2 linked regions of the Anolis sagrei genome follow. The protein of the gene in region 2 binds, or shares a complex with, the protein of the main gene of each other region. Links are inferred from orthologs where the notes say so. Each region holds a gene or a part of one and is shown on either strand. Other genes may lie near its edges.

Region 1 (7,491 bases), about 15 Mb from region 2:
TAAGTGACCCCCCAAAAAAAGAATTTTTAACAGAGCTAGAGTTCATGCACTTATTATTATTATTATTATTATTATTATTATTATTAAATGGCTTCTCAGCCCATGCAATGCTCAGAAGCAAAAACTAGGCATACTCAAAGAGAGGATGTCTCCAAAGCCCACTCAATTCCCTCATTTCAAAAACTTCAAAAGCATATTCCTATACGTACATCTCCTCCAAAGTCTGTTTCAGCTGGAGGACCACCATTAAAATATCTAGAAGTAAAACAAAAAAAAATCAGTTGACTGAAAGTGAGGGTTGCTTGACATTGAACACAACACTAAATAGAAGTAATGAAATGACAGGATTACTTTTCATGATTTCCATTCCAATTGAGTTAGCCACCATGTACATTACTTGCTTATTTCCCAAATTAAGAATTGTAAACACATCTGCTGTGTTCATATTTTGTTTGCCCCTACGCTGGATCACATAAACATATGAGTCAATTTATCATGTCTAGTTTAATCCTGTATGTATATTCTCTCTTCAGTTAACTTTATTTTTAATATCCCGGGACTCCATATTTGCAATCTGCAGTATTAGTAACCATGTGTATTTGCAGATATTTCTTCAATTGAGAAATCTTTGGATTAATATATTACTTTTAAGACTAAGCAATCAACTAATTATGGATTTTAATTGGAAATTATGTTTTGTATCTATGTCTTTATTTTAATCTGTTACTCTGCACCTCAAACTGTATGGAGAGGCAGGTGGTAATGATAATAATTCTGAAGTAAAACTCATTTATTTCAGTTGAGCCTACTTCCAAGTACTGCACATGCTAAACATTGAATGCATATGCATTTTTATTCAGAAGATGAAACAACATTCAGTAGAGTTGACTCTAGGTCAGGCATAGACACAAGATACACCAGTCATATACAGGTTGATTTTTAATTTGCCTGAAACAACAAAGGTTCCCATTCAAAAGTAACAATTAAAAGGTATTTCTGTACTGAATTCAATTGTAATACAAATACTTCCGGGGAACTTGGTGTACATTTTTGTGTGAAAAGATTGGTATGTTTGATTCTTATGTTGACCAAAAATTCTACAGCTAATCATATGCTTAGTCATCATGTTCTTTACCTATTCACTTATATTCTTAGTTCCTAGCACAAGTCCAACCCCTTCATCCAGTACTTTGCAAAACTCTTTGATCATTAAACCCCAAGAATTTAGTAAAAAACAAAAACAAAACCCAAGTCTGCAAATTCTTATGGAAATTCTACATCTACCCTCCAGATGTCTTTGGTCTTTAGTGGAGACCCATTTTCCCTATGATGACTCTTTCGAGAGTGAATGTCCCTTCTGAGGGGCAGATTTCTCTCACTTCCTGTTGTCTCACCCCCGTTCTTAACTATGAGTAATTTGTAAGTGATATGTTTGTAACTCAGGGATTGCCTATATAAGATTTTATTGGGACAGTACATCATCGAATAGTCAGAACATAGTAATCAATACTATAACTGGATTTTTCCCTCAAAGGAAATACTTTCTCAGCATTCTCCTTCCCATAATTGTGTCTTTCTAAGCAACAAAGCAAACAAGAGCACAGCTGCATCTCAGGATGCCAAGAACACTCACTCAATGGCAGGTAGAAGGTAATGCTTTCGCAGGGACTCAAAGTAGGGCCCAAGGTTGGCAGTGCCCTCAATGACGAAGACTACATCAGCAACCATCCCCATAGGCTGAGCAGGCATATCCAGCGTTGGTACCACCATCTCCTCCAACTACTGAGATATGGTTATACAACAGCAGCAGTGTGACAAATTAGTAACAAGAGGCAAGCCCAACAATCTGTAACTATTTAACTTTAAATCCGTACCACAATGAACATTCAGTACTCTATAAAAACACAAGACTCATCTGGGTTCTAGTCAAATGTAAACAAGTGAGAGATAAAGAAAGGAAGGAACTAACAAATGAATAACAGGAATATAAGCAGGTCAAAAAAAAGGTGGACTTGTAGATAAGAGAAGGACGGAATGATGTCTGGAACAGAGATGGACCATAATCAAACAATTGTTTTGTTAGAAATCTAAAATTGCAAATTTAACTAGAAGCAAAACGAAACAGAAGCTATAGGGATAGGGGCATATTTTCTGGAAAACTGAAAAACTATTACCTTCTTTACAAATTGAAAGTCACTTTGTTACTTTAGGAATATAAATCTTATGATGCATGAAATGGTTTATCATAATTTATCATAGAATCAGAGTTGGAAGAGACCTCATGGGCCATCCAGTCCAACCCCCTGCCAAGAAGCAGGAATATTGCATTCAAATCACCCCTGACAGATGGCCATCCAGCCTCTGTTTAAAAGCTTCCAAAGAAGGAGCCTCCACCACACTCCGGGGCAGAGAGTTCCACTGCTGAACGGCTCTCACAGTCAGGAAGTTCTTCCTCATGTTCAGATGGAATCTCCTTGGTATATTATGCTTGGTATATTATTTATTTATTTATTTGCTTTATTTCTATACTGCATTTTTCAGCCCTTAACAGGCGACTCAATGCGGTTTTAAAAGAACAGCTTATTAGACAATTACAAAATGGATTTAATTTTGGAAAGTGTGGCTGCCCTGCACAAGTAAGGAACATTTGGACCATAAAAACTTAAAAAAGGAAAGGGCCTGAGGCTGTTAGGAATGGTGGGAGTTGAAGTCCAAAACATCTGGAGGAAGGCCCAAGTTTGCCCACGCCTGGTGTCAATGGAACAGAGACAAGCCTCCAGAAAAGGAGCAACAAATCAAGAAGCAACCCCATGGTGTAGGGCTGTGGCCGCTCTTCTTCCTCCTCTCCACTTCTGCCCCTCTTCTCCTCAAACATCCCCCTCCTTCCTCCACTCCCTCAAGCGCATACCCAACGCTGACATCCGGATGCTCAGCTTTCCTTGTTTTCCAGCCACCGGAAATGATCCCCTTCAGGTCCGCTTTATATTGCGCATGCGCAAATACCGAACGGAGAGGGGAGATTTCTCTTCCCTCTCTTGCTGCGGGAGAGCAGCTGAGCCTGGGTCACGTGAAGTGGGCGGGGAAAAAAAGAAAAGGAAGCCACCAATCACGCAGGCGCTGCTGTCGCCACGGCAACACCGGGGACGCACGGAAAGAACCAATCGAGGAGGGGCTCTTGTTGCCATGGCAACGGGATTCCCAAAATGGCGGCCTTGAGGAAAGGCTGAGGAAAAGGAATAGGGAAAAAAGGGGAAAGCGGACCAAAAGGGAGGAATACTTTCCGGGCCACGATGTGGGAGGAAGCGGGGGGCTCCGTGACGCTGCTGTGCCTCACCGCCAGCAGTGGGGTGCCCCTCTTCTGTAGGAGCCGAGGAGGCCTTGCCAAGCCACAGGTGAGGCCGTGGCGTCTCCTTCTCTCACACTGTCTTTGGGCCCTTCCACACAGCCATATAACCCAGAATATCAAGGCAGAAAATCCCTCAATAGCTGCTTTGAACTGGGTTATCTGAGTCCACACTGCCATATATTCCAGTTCAGAGCAGAAAATGTGGGGTTTTATTCAGATGTTAATATATTACTGATGTGCTCTGGTAATAATATAATATATTGTATACACATATATTATTAATCATGATATTATAATGTAATCCAATATAATACTAATAATAAACAATATAAGAATTATATTTTATATTATATGTAATATTATTAATAATAATACAGTATTGTCGAAGGCTTTCATGGCCGGAATCACTGGGTTGTTGTAGGTTTTTTTGAGCTATATGGCCATGGTCTAGAGGCATTCTCTCCTGATGTTTCGCCTGCATCTATGGCAAGCATCCTTAGAGGTAGTGAGGTCTGTTGGAACTAGGAAAAAGGGTTTATATATCTGTGGAATGATCAGGGCGGGACAAAGGACACCTAGCTCTAGCAGACAAGAGTCCTGAGCTTTATACACAGTTGTTTAAAACATGAGCTGAGATTCTACATCAGAATATGCATGTTGTAACTTTACAAATCTGTAGGTACATTGCAGAAATACAACAAAACCACCTTAATCTTTTCTGAAGATGCTAATCCGGGCACCAGCAAGGAGCTCCAAAGCACATTTGGTACTTACGATGTACACCAGGCAATCCAGTTGTGTTCAGTCATTTATATATACATACACGAATATATACATACACTAACAATATAAATTTCAATTGAAATCAAAATTCTATACCTTCAGAAAATACATTCAGAGAATAAAGGAATGAAAAAATACGTATAGCTAAAAGAAAATATGGCTTTAACACAAATACAACCACCTATGATGAAAATAAAAAAGTAATATTCTACATTACAGATCCAGTTTAATATTCCTTCTAGAATTAGTGGTCACCAGCAAGGAGCTCCAAAGCACATTTGGTACTTACGATGTACACCAGGCAATCCAGTTGTGTTCAGTCATTTATATATACATACACGAATATATACATACACTAACAATATAAATTTCAATTGAAATCAAAATTCTATACCTTCAGAAAATACATTCAGAGAATAAAGGAATGAAAAAATACATATCTAAAAGAAAATATGGCTTTAACACACATACAACCACTTATGATGAAAATAAGAAAAGTATTCTACATTACAGATCCAACTTAATAATCCTTCTAGAATTAGTTGTCACTATCCGAGCCATATGTATTATGCTAATATTTCCTTATTCATCTTCCCCCAACCTAGCTGCCATTCTCTGTGATTGGCTCCCTAAATGGGGTTCACATGTTTGGGTCCAACCTAGATGTTCTGCTGACAGCTGCCTGTACAGAGAATACTCGTGTGATGTGGAAAGTATTTCACAACAGGTGAGCAAGAATACATGCCAGGTTTTACCTCTGGAATTGCCATACCTCTAGCAACCAATCATTGTCTTCTGAATCTATGTGGGATTTGTTAGAAATGAAGGATTGTCCTTCTTTTTAAAGACTTGAAATTGAGGCTCTGGTGGCCTACTGTGCATGCCTATCCTTGGTTTGTGGTATGTTTGTTTTCAGTATCACGCTCATCGTCTTGTCCTCAGATGAAGGTACTAGTGACTTCAGCCTTGGGCGACTCCTTGAGAATATCTTCAATGCCATGGTGAGTAGTTGAAGGGATGGGATATCATTTCAGCCTATGTCTTCCTGAACTGTAAGGCACAGTCAATTATTGGGAAGAATAAATCCATTTTGAGAGAAGCAAGTATCACCAGTGAATGGGGGATGGAGGGCATGGGGCATGTTTGACTTAGCTGTGTTTTGTGGCTTTTAAAGTTATGCTAAGTTGTGTAGGTATATGCTACTGGTTTGCATGAATCAGTAGGGGTTTTTAATTGTGACATGGGCCATGGTAAAAATGTAAAGTAACATAAAACCATACATAAGAGACCTGAGACATAAGAGATGGTAAGGCCCCACTTTCAAGTGGCCTGTTTCTCACAGTAAAATAGACCCATTTGCAAAGAACTTGTGTTTGATGCCAGCTCAGACTCCTAAATCTAGATGGGGAAACATGTTTAGTTTTGCGGGAACTGGCTGCTTTTTTTAAAATGGTAGACCAGCAGGATCTTTCTGACATGCATTTTATTGTAGGTACTGATATTAGGTCTGGAGGAACTGGTAAATGCCCGTAATATTGAACGTCTGAAAAAGGATCTGAAGGTAACACTTGATGTGGAGTGGAAGGAGGGGTGGGTGGGTGCAATTTACATTTCTGAGAACTGAACTCAGGAATATAATATCTAGGGAACTTTGTAGTAAAACAGGGGAGAGGGGCATTTAGATATTGCTCTATTGCATGGTGTATGGCAAGTTGATGGCACCTCCTGCTTTTGCTATCTTTGCTTCACATTCTGATGATAGAGAGGCATCTTTGATATCTACCACCTGGATTTGAGCCTTTTTCCTTCAGCCTGATCCAGAATGTTTTCTTGAAGCATGTGAAACTACATTAGAAAAGCAGATAGCATTAGGATGTAAATAGTAAATGCATTGAAACATGCTTTTTGGAAGTTGTTCAGAAAATAGTTTTAAAAAAAACAAAACCTTGGTAGCTTAAATATGAAATGTACCACCCTGCAGGCATGTTATAAATTGATTGACAGTTTCCTGGAACCAGGCAAATGCAGTGCTGACTTGACTCAGTGTATGGAATGTGCTGTGACACCCTCCAGGGCAGTACTGCAGGTAAGTTGACCTGTTTCTTTCTGTCATCTGCAGGTTCCAGCATAACTTCTAACGTCCACACCACCATATTTGGGACTTTGAAAAATCCCTTTGTTTACCCTCTATTGTAACCTGTTTGTCTAACTTAAAGTGCAGAGTGGCATTGTTGGCATAGGAGGACATATATGAAATTAATGGAAGATAAATTAAATTTATCCCAAAGCTGTATAAATATGCTTTATAGATGAGGTTTTAATACCACTTTATCTTAGCCTGCATCTAAAGAACTGGATTTATACCCACAAGGCTCATGCTAAAATAAAAACCAGTTGGGCTTCAGTTGCTGATACATTCCTCCCCCCGCCCCCCAACTTTTTATGCTTTAGGGCAGGGGTCCTCTAACTTTTTAAACAGAGGGCCAGGTCACAGTCCCTCAAACTGTTGGAGGACCGGATGACAATTTGAAAAAAAACATGAATGAATTCCTACGCACACTGAACATATCTTATTTGTAGTGTAAAAACAGTTAAAAACAATACCATAATTAAAATGAAGAACAATTTTAACAAATATAATCTTATTAGTATTTCAATGGGAAGTGTGGGCCTGCTTTTGGTTGATGAGATAGGATTGTTATTGTTATTATGTGCTTTCTAGTTGTTTCAGACTTAGGTTGACCCTGAGCTAGGGCCGGGTAAATGACCTTGGAGGGCCGTATTCGGCCCTCGGGCCATAGTTTGAGGACCCCTGCTTTAGGGAAACATAGTTGCTGGTCTTTTTTACCTGGTGATCCACATTCAGTGGACGTCTGGAGGCTTCCCCATTTTTTTAAATGCATCATGTCACAGAACATATTTATATATTTTTCTGGTGGATATTCTGGCAAACTCTGGACACTCCATGGTGGTGGTGGTCTCATGCAGGAAGGGCATATTATCCGTTCTTATAATTTGTCCTGCATGGCAAGGGGATTGACTGGATGGTCCTTGTAATCCTTGGAAACTCCAATTCTATGATGTTAAAAATGAATTCATTTTAAGGATTCACTGGCACAGAACAGATAGCAACATGGCGTGTGTCCTTCTGTGTCCACCTATGGATACCTATTGCAGTTCTAGCAAGTAGGTAGTTTGTACAAGTATATAGATAAACCTCTGTGCTGTTATCTTTGTTCCCTATTCAGGAATGCCTAGAAGCCTTTGCTTCAGCAGCAGAGTCACGCTTTGGCTGCCTGCTTGTGGGTGGACGGGTGCTGTGCGCAACAGAGCAGTGGTGGCAGCTGGCAGCCCAGGAGGCG
Region 2 (7,458 bases):
ATGCCTGGACCGGTGTCTCTTGTGCTTGGAGAGCCTGTGCCTCTCTTTGTTGTTTGAGCTCCCGCTGCTGGATACGGCTTCTTGATGCAAGAGCGCTCCTCCTCCTGATTCCTTCTTGACCCCATGTCTCTCTGGGTTTGGCATTCCTTCTCCACTGGGCTCTAAAAGAGGGGGGACTCCTCCAAAACCCCCAACCCTAATTGTCAAAGCCACCCCCTTCCCTTGCGTCACTTCTCTCCTACATCCAGCCACTTTGCTCTTTTCGGCATGCGGTTGTCTTACCAGAGTTTGGAGCTAGAAGGGGATCTAGCCCAAACCACTGCCTAAGACACAGACCTTCAACTTTGAACCCTTAAAGGGGCGGGGCAACTTATATTACAATGGCCCTGCTCCTAGATATCAAGCATGGGGTGGGCAATGACAGGAAGCTAACTTTCCTTAGCTGGAGATTCCAATCTCAAAATGCTAAGGTCAATGTATGGGTCCCAACTACTCCTGGAGATGGATCCCTCCAAACCGTCTAAAAGGAGGGAAAGTTCCTGGAAGTGGCCCCTTCTCTTCCAACTTCAGACCCCTCTAAGCTGTAGGTCTCCCCAAGAATTGGTATAATGGCTTCTCTAGGGTCTGAAACGCCCCCTCGGCTACCAACTCGAGGCCCTGAGTCCTCACGAGAAGGAAGGCCACAGCTGGCTGCACTTTCTCCTTCAAGGCTGCTGCTTCCAAGTTTCTGAGGGAAAGGAGAGAGTGGTGCCGAGGCCTGGCTGGCCGCGGAGGCGCCGGGGGCCCTCGAGGGGGCCACGAGTCCCCTGCTGAGGAGCCCCCTCCGCCTCTCCCTCCGGCCGAGTCCCTAGCAAGGCCCCCACGCCGGGCCCCCCATCCTCCTTTTCCTCCTCCTCGCCCCCTCTTACTTCCCTCCACGAAACGGCGCCGCTTCCAGGTTGGGGGGAGGGGCGGGAGAGGAAAGTGAGGAGGGGAGAAGGTAAGCCGCCAACTCTCGCGAGAACACGGACAAAATTCGCCGAAGCTTCCTGTAGTAACGCGCGGGGGGCTCTTCTGCTCCGTCTTTCTCGCTCTCTCTTCTCTCTATACCTGCTCCTCCAGATATCGCGAGAGCAAGCGCGCGCAAGCTTGCTCTCCTTCCTGCCTGCCTGCCTACCTTCTGGCGCGCAGGCGCACAAGCCGAGTCTCGCGACGCTGCCCCTCAGGAAGAGAAGGGAAAGCGGAAAACCTCCTCCGCTTTCTCGAAACGGGTTTGACCTCTCGCGGGGCCGAAATCTCACGGGAACTCGTTCGAGCGTTTGAACAAAACTTTTATCTGCATGGGGACAATTGCAGAGGCTCGGCGCTGACTTGGTTGGAGAGGGAAGCTGCCACGTTTCGTTGCAAAATGGGAATTGGAAGTCCAAAATACCCGGAGGGTCCAAGTTTGCCCATGCCTGCTTTAGACGGAAAACACTGACTTTGCAGTGCTTTCCCTCTTGTGGTGACAGATTGGCCTGTCTGTCATGATAAAAAGTACACACAAAAATGTAATAACATGTCTGTAGAATATACCATGCGATGTGCAGGGCTTGATGAATGCAAGGCTGGGGTTAAAATGGCTGGAAGAAACATTAACAAACTTAGATATGCAGATGATACCGCTTTGATGGCAAAAAGTGAGAAACTGAGGAGACTTCTAATCAAGGTGAAAAAAGAAAGCGCAAAAGCTGGGTTGCAATAACACATTAAAAAAAACAAGATTATGGCAACAAGAATGATTGACAACTGGAAAATAGAGGGAGAAAACGAGGTCATGGCAGACTGTATTTCTATGCGCAAAAATTAACTGCAGACGCAGACTGCAGCCAGGAAATCAGGAGATGCTTACTTCTTGGGAGGAGAGCAATGTCCAATCTTGATAAAATAGTGAAGAGTAGAGACATCACACTGGCAACCAAGATCCGCATAGTTAAAGCAATGGTATTCCTCATAATCACCTATGCACGTGAGAGCTGGACCATAGGGAAGGCTGAATTTCCTGAAGTATGGACTGGTTGGATCTTCTCACTGTCCAAGGCACTCTCAGAACTTTCCTCCAACACCACAGTTCAAAAGCATCTATCTTCCTTTGCTTAGCCTTCCCTATGATCCAGCTCTCACATCCGTAGGTGACTAAAGGGAAGACCATTGCTTTAACTATGCAGATCTTGGTTGCCAGTAGGATGTCTCTACTCTTCGCTATTTTATCGAGATTGGACATTGCTCTCTTCCCAAAAAGTAAGTGTCTCCTGATTTCCTGGCTGCAGTCTGCTTTGCAGTAATCTTTGTTAGTGTTTAGAGCGGAAGTATTTGCACAGGCTTGGTAGAAATCATAGACTCTGCAGTTATCTTTGCACCTAAAAATACAAAGTCTGTCACTGCCTCCATGTTTTCTCCCTCTGTTTCCCAGTTGTCAATCATTCTTGTTGCCATAATCTTGGGGTTTTTTTATGTTTAACTGCAACCCAGCATTTGCGCTTTCTTCTTTCACCTTGATTAGAAGTCTCCTCAGCTCCTCCTCGCTTTTGGCCATCAAAGTGGTATCATCTGCATATCTATGGTTGTTAATGTTTCTTCCTGCAATTTTCACCCCAGCCTTGCATTCCTCAAGCCCCGCACATCGCATGATGTGTTCTGCCTACAAGTTGAATAGGTTGGATGAGAGTATACAACCCTGCCATACACCTTTCCCAATCTTGAACCAGTCTGTTGTTCCATGGTCAGTTCTTACTGTTGCTACTTGGTCATTATACAGATTCCTCAGGAGAGAGATAAGGTGATTTGGTATCCCCATACCACCAAGAGCTTGCCACAATTTATTATGATCGACACAAAAGCTTTAGAATAGTCAATAAAACAGAACTCAACCATTATATTGTAATATAAGAAAAAGGAATCTGCGAACCCCACCTCCTTCAAGATGAACTGAACCACCTCAACTGGGCTCTACAGGCCAATGGATACTCCACCTCAGACATCAGAAGAGCTGCAAGACCAAGAACAAGCCACAAGAGTAAAGATGAAGATTCACCCAGAGGAAAAGTGTTCCTGCCATACATCAAGGGAACCACTGACCGCATAGGGAAGCTGATGAGGAAACACAACTTACAAAGTATCTACAGACCCACCAAGAAAATCCAACAAATGCTATGTTCAGCAAAGGACAAGAGGGATCTTTTCACTTCTGCAGGAGTCTACCGTGTACCATGCAGCTGTGGACAAGTCTACATAGGGACCACCAAACGCAGCAGCTCCCAAACACGAATCAAGTAACATGAAAGGCACTGCAGAATACTTCAACCTGCGAAGTCAGCCATAGCAGAGCACTTGATGAACCAACCTGGACACAGCATATTATTTGAGAACACAGAAATGCTGGACCACTCTCACAATCACGATGTCAGACTACACAGAGAAGCCATTGAAATACACAGGCATGTGGACAATTTCAACAGAAAGGAGAAACCATGAAAATGAACAAAATCTGGCTACCAGTATTAAAAAAAACTCTAAAATTACAACAGCACAACAACGGAGAGGAAACAAACAAGGACATCTAATCACCTCTCAACAAAGGTTTGCTCCAGGCACTGTCAGGCCATTATATGCTAATCAAGGTGATCAGTTGAAACATTTACACCTAGCTCCAGCAGACAGGAGTCCTTTGTCCTACCCTGGTCATTCCACAGATATATAAACCCCTTTTTCCTAGTTCCAACAGACCTCACAACCTCTGAGGATGCTTGCCATAGATGCAGGTGAAACCTACAACAACCTATTGTAATATTACATGTAATATTACATGTAATATAAATATATAATTATAATATTGTATTAATGTATTGTCGAAGGCTTTCATGGCCAGAATCACTGGGTTGTTGTAGGTTTTTTCGGGCTATATGGCCATGTTCTAGAGGCATTCTCTCCTGACGTTTCGCCTGCATCTATGGCAAGCATCAGTACCTCTAAGGATGCTTGCCATAGATGCAGGCGAAACGTCAGGAGAGAATGCCTCTAAAACATGGCCATATAGCCCGAAAAAACCTACAACAACCCAATTGTATTATTAGTATTATATTGTTTTACATTATAATATATATTACATGTATATACAATATATTGGATTATTAGTAAAGTACAGGAAATTGCAGCATGAACTGTATTATATGATCCAGGCTTGGGCAAACTTCGGTCCTCCGGGTGTTTTGGACTTTGTCTAAAGCGAAGGAATTGCATTGGACGTTTTCCTGATGGGTGAAAGAGCGTGACCTGTTTTGTTTGTTTATTTTTTTTTTTTCAAGGGAGGTGGAAATGAAAGCCTCGCGAGAAGTGCTTTCTGCCGCTAGATTGGCTGACTTCCCACGCGCCGCGGCTTCTCTCGCGCTTGTTGCTCTCCACCTCCGGTTTCCCCTCCCAAATCCCGCGAGAGCTGGAAATCTCACGCGGACGCCAGTGGGATGGTGCCTTGCGCGCGCCTCGGGTCTTCTCCTCCGAGCGGGAGACGGGCCTTCCTTCCCCGCCGCATGAGGGAGGGCGGAGCGGGGCGCCGGGCCCCTCTCCTTCCCTGCCTGCCGCTCCGGTGAAGGATGAAGGCCGCCCAGGGCGCCTCGGAGGGTGAGTGAGTCACGCCGGCCTGGGAGTGACACCAAGGCCTCAAAGTGGGAGCACTCCCAATAAAGGCTGCGTTCAGAAACCCCACAAAGAGCCTTGTGTGAGCAAAGCTCAGGTGTGCAGGGCCGTACAGGCGAAGTATCTTATATCCCAAATGAGTTCGCCCCACAAGTGTTTGGAATCTCGGATTTTTGAGGCTTGATCTGCACTATTATATAATGCAGCGTGAACCGAATTATATGATCCAGGCATGGGCAAACTTAATCCCTCCGGGTGTTTTGGACTTCAACTCCCGCCCTGCGGTTAGGAATTGTGAAGTTGAAGTCCAAAACACCCGGAGGGCCCAAGTTTGCCCATGCCTGCTTTAGACTGAAGCTTTATCAACTGACTTTGCAATATTTTGCCTCATACGATGTCTTGTCTGTCATAAAAAGTACAAGCAGAAGTTGAATCACATATAAGACTACAAATAAGACTCTCCTGTTTTTCCCAGGAGCTTGGTTCATGCATTCATCTGTCAGTCATTAAGGGATGGACACATTTGTGAATTGGTCCTCTGAGTAGCATTGATCCACAAAGCTGAAACTGTAGATGTGAACATTATACAGAGTGAGGCAGCATAACTTCCCTTTTTCAAGACTTAATAAAACCCATTGTAAGAATCAGAATATTTTTAATATAATGTAGGCGCATACCTAAAGTTTTGTTTTACGTAGTTTTTAAGATCAAATTAGGCAGGTGACGTCCCTCATTCTCCATACACTGAGTAAACCGATTTCTGGCATTTGTCATGACTCTTACCAGCATAGCAGGCGTTATGTTGGCAGTTTCTTCCTGGATGTTGGTCTTCAAATCTTTTAGGGTCCTTGGACAGTTCACATAAACACGGGATTTCAAAAAGCCCCATAAAAAAAATCACAAGGGGCCAATGCAACCTGAGTCCTGCCACATGCACAATGGAGGACCTTCTTGCAGCAACACCAGAAGCACTCCAAGTGGCCAGATACTGGTCAAAGGACATTTAATCAACTACCAAATTCACAAATTTTGTATTTTGTCTGTTTGTTTGTTTGCTTTGTTCTGTTAGAAATGTAATATAATTGCCTGGTTGCTGATGGCTCGATAAATAAACAAGGGGCCAAATCTGGAGAGGAGGCCAGCCACTCCCAAATCCGCTCAAAAAGTAGGCCTCAACAGCAAAAGCACGCTTCTCACTGTTCCAACGCATGATGGCGACTGAACTGTGTCAGGACAAAACTTTATACTCCCGCCTCTCGAACAAGACCCCTAGCGCTCCTCTACGTTTTCAACCGCCTGAATGGCGCGCATTTTAAAAAAGGAAGTTATGTTGCCTCACCCTGTATTTGCTACCACTTCCGGTCCAGTAGACTGCATCAACGACCCAACGGCTGCTCTGGCCAGAGCGAAGACAGAGGGGAGCAGAAGACGTTTCCATCTTGTCTTTACTAATAATCTAATATAGTATATTGTATATACATATAATATTTATAATATTATAATGTAATACAATATAATACTAGTAATAATAATATGATATTATAATTATATATTTACACTAATAATATTACAATATAATGGTATAGTGCAATAAAGTAATATATAATACTGATATTGTACTATGCTAATAATATAATATATTGTATGAAAATATATATTGTAAGCCACTCTGAGTCCCCTTCGAGGTGAGAAGGGCGGCATATAAATGCCGTAAATAAAAAAAATCAAGAATTTCTCCCCTGTCTGGCTTGGGCCTTGTAATCTATCCACCTTTCCCTTTAGTATCCACCTTGACTTGGTCCTCTGCAGATGCTGTTCCATACTAGATCTCTGCTTAATGAGTACTGTACTGTAATTTAGTTTCTGTGAATAGTTAGAAGGCCCTTCCTTTAGACCAGCCATGGGCAAACTTCGGCCCTCTGGATGTTTTGAACTTGAAATCCCAAGCAACTTACTGGCTGTTAAGAATTGTGGAAGTTGAAAACACCTGGAGAACCCAAGTTTGCCCATACCTGCTTTAGACTGAATAGCTGACTTTGCAATGATTTGGAAGTTATGCTGCCTCACCCTGTATGATATTTGGTAGCAGAGATTATGGCACACTCAGGTAGAAACCAGAATAGAAATATCACTCACTCCCCCAAGCACAGGTAAAAGAACCAAACTTAAGTTAAAGTGTAAAGGGATACTTGACACATAGTTTCAGCGTTTTCAGGTATGGTGAAAGTGTCAGGAAAACAAGCATGTCATCAGCTTTGACTGTTTGACTTCAAGAGTATTCATAGCTTCTTTGAGTCTCTGTTAAGAAAGAACAGTGGCATAAAAATAAATGTAATTATACAGGAACACTTGCTCACTATGTGCTTCATAGTGAGGGGTCACGATGAAAAAAGATGAGTGGGCAAACCCATGCTGTTCCTGGGGAGAAAAGTAGTATGCATGGGACTTAGGAAGAAGGGGTGTGAGCAAGCAAACAATCAACATGCTTTTCTAAACATCCATAGGCTATACCAGTGAGTTCAGCATGCTCTGCCCAGAAAGCGGCACAGGACTACAATGAAAGTAAAAAAGCGCAAATAAAGAAATTGTGTTTATTTCAGATAACACCTCTAGAAATTTCTAGGTGTTCCAACATGACTCTATGGGCAACTTCTGTTGGAAGGTAATCATACAATTGGGTTAGGGAACCCAAAAATTTCTAGAGATCTTAATGTATAAAAATTGCTTGGTCCTCCACCATGATTGGAAGAAGTTGACCACAGAGTCACATTGGAGGGTCTAGAGATTCTTAGAACATTTAAATCAAAT

Evidence for each region.
Region 1: MED1 (region 2) and MED25 share a complex: the UniProt entries of both Homo sapiens proteins name them as parts of the mediator complex. The link is inferred for Anolis sagrei from reciprocal best matches to the Homo sapiens genes MED1 and MED25.

Annotation. Positions count from the first base shown.
Region 1 is NC_090026.1:28,837,474-28,844,964, forward strand, and holds the start of MED25 (mediator of RNA polymerase II transcription subunit 25), read right to left. Parts: upstream 3,043-7,491; 5' UTR 2,909-3,042; intron 1,783-2,908; 5' UTR 1,771-1,782; coding exon 1,634-1,770; intron 256-1,633; coding exon 210-255; intron 1-209. Other genes in the region: FUZ (protein fuzzy homolog), read left to right, coding at 3,291-3,392, 4,735-4,856, 5,046-5,130, 5,622-5,690, 6,111-6,215, 7,378-7,491. UniProt on the Homo sapiens protein: Component of the Mediator complex, a coactivator involved in the regulated transcription of nearly all RNA polymerase II-dependent genes.
Region 2 is NC_090026.1:43,431,469-43,438,926, forward strand, and holds the start of MED1 (mediator of RNA polymerase II transcription subunit 1), read left to right. Parts: upstream 1-4,449; 5' UTR 4,450-4,607; coding exon 4,608-4,635; intron 4,636-7,458. Other genes in the region: CDK12 (cyclin-dependent kinase 12), read right to left, coding at 1-144. UniProt on the Homo sapiens protein: Component of the Mediator complex, a coactivator involved in the regulated transcription of nearly all RNA polymerase II-dependent genes.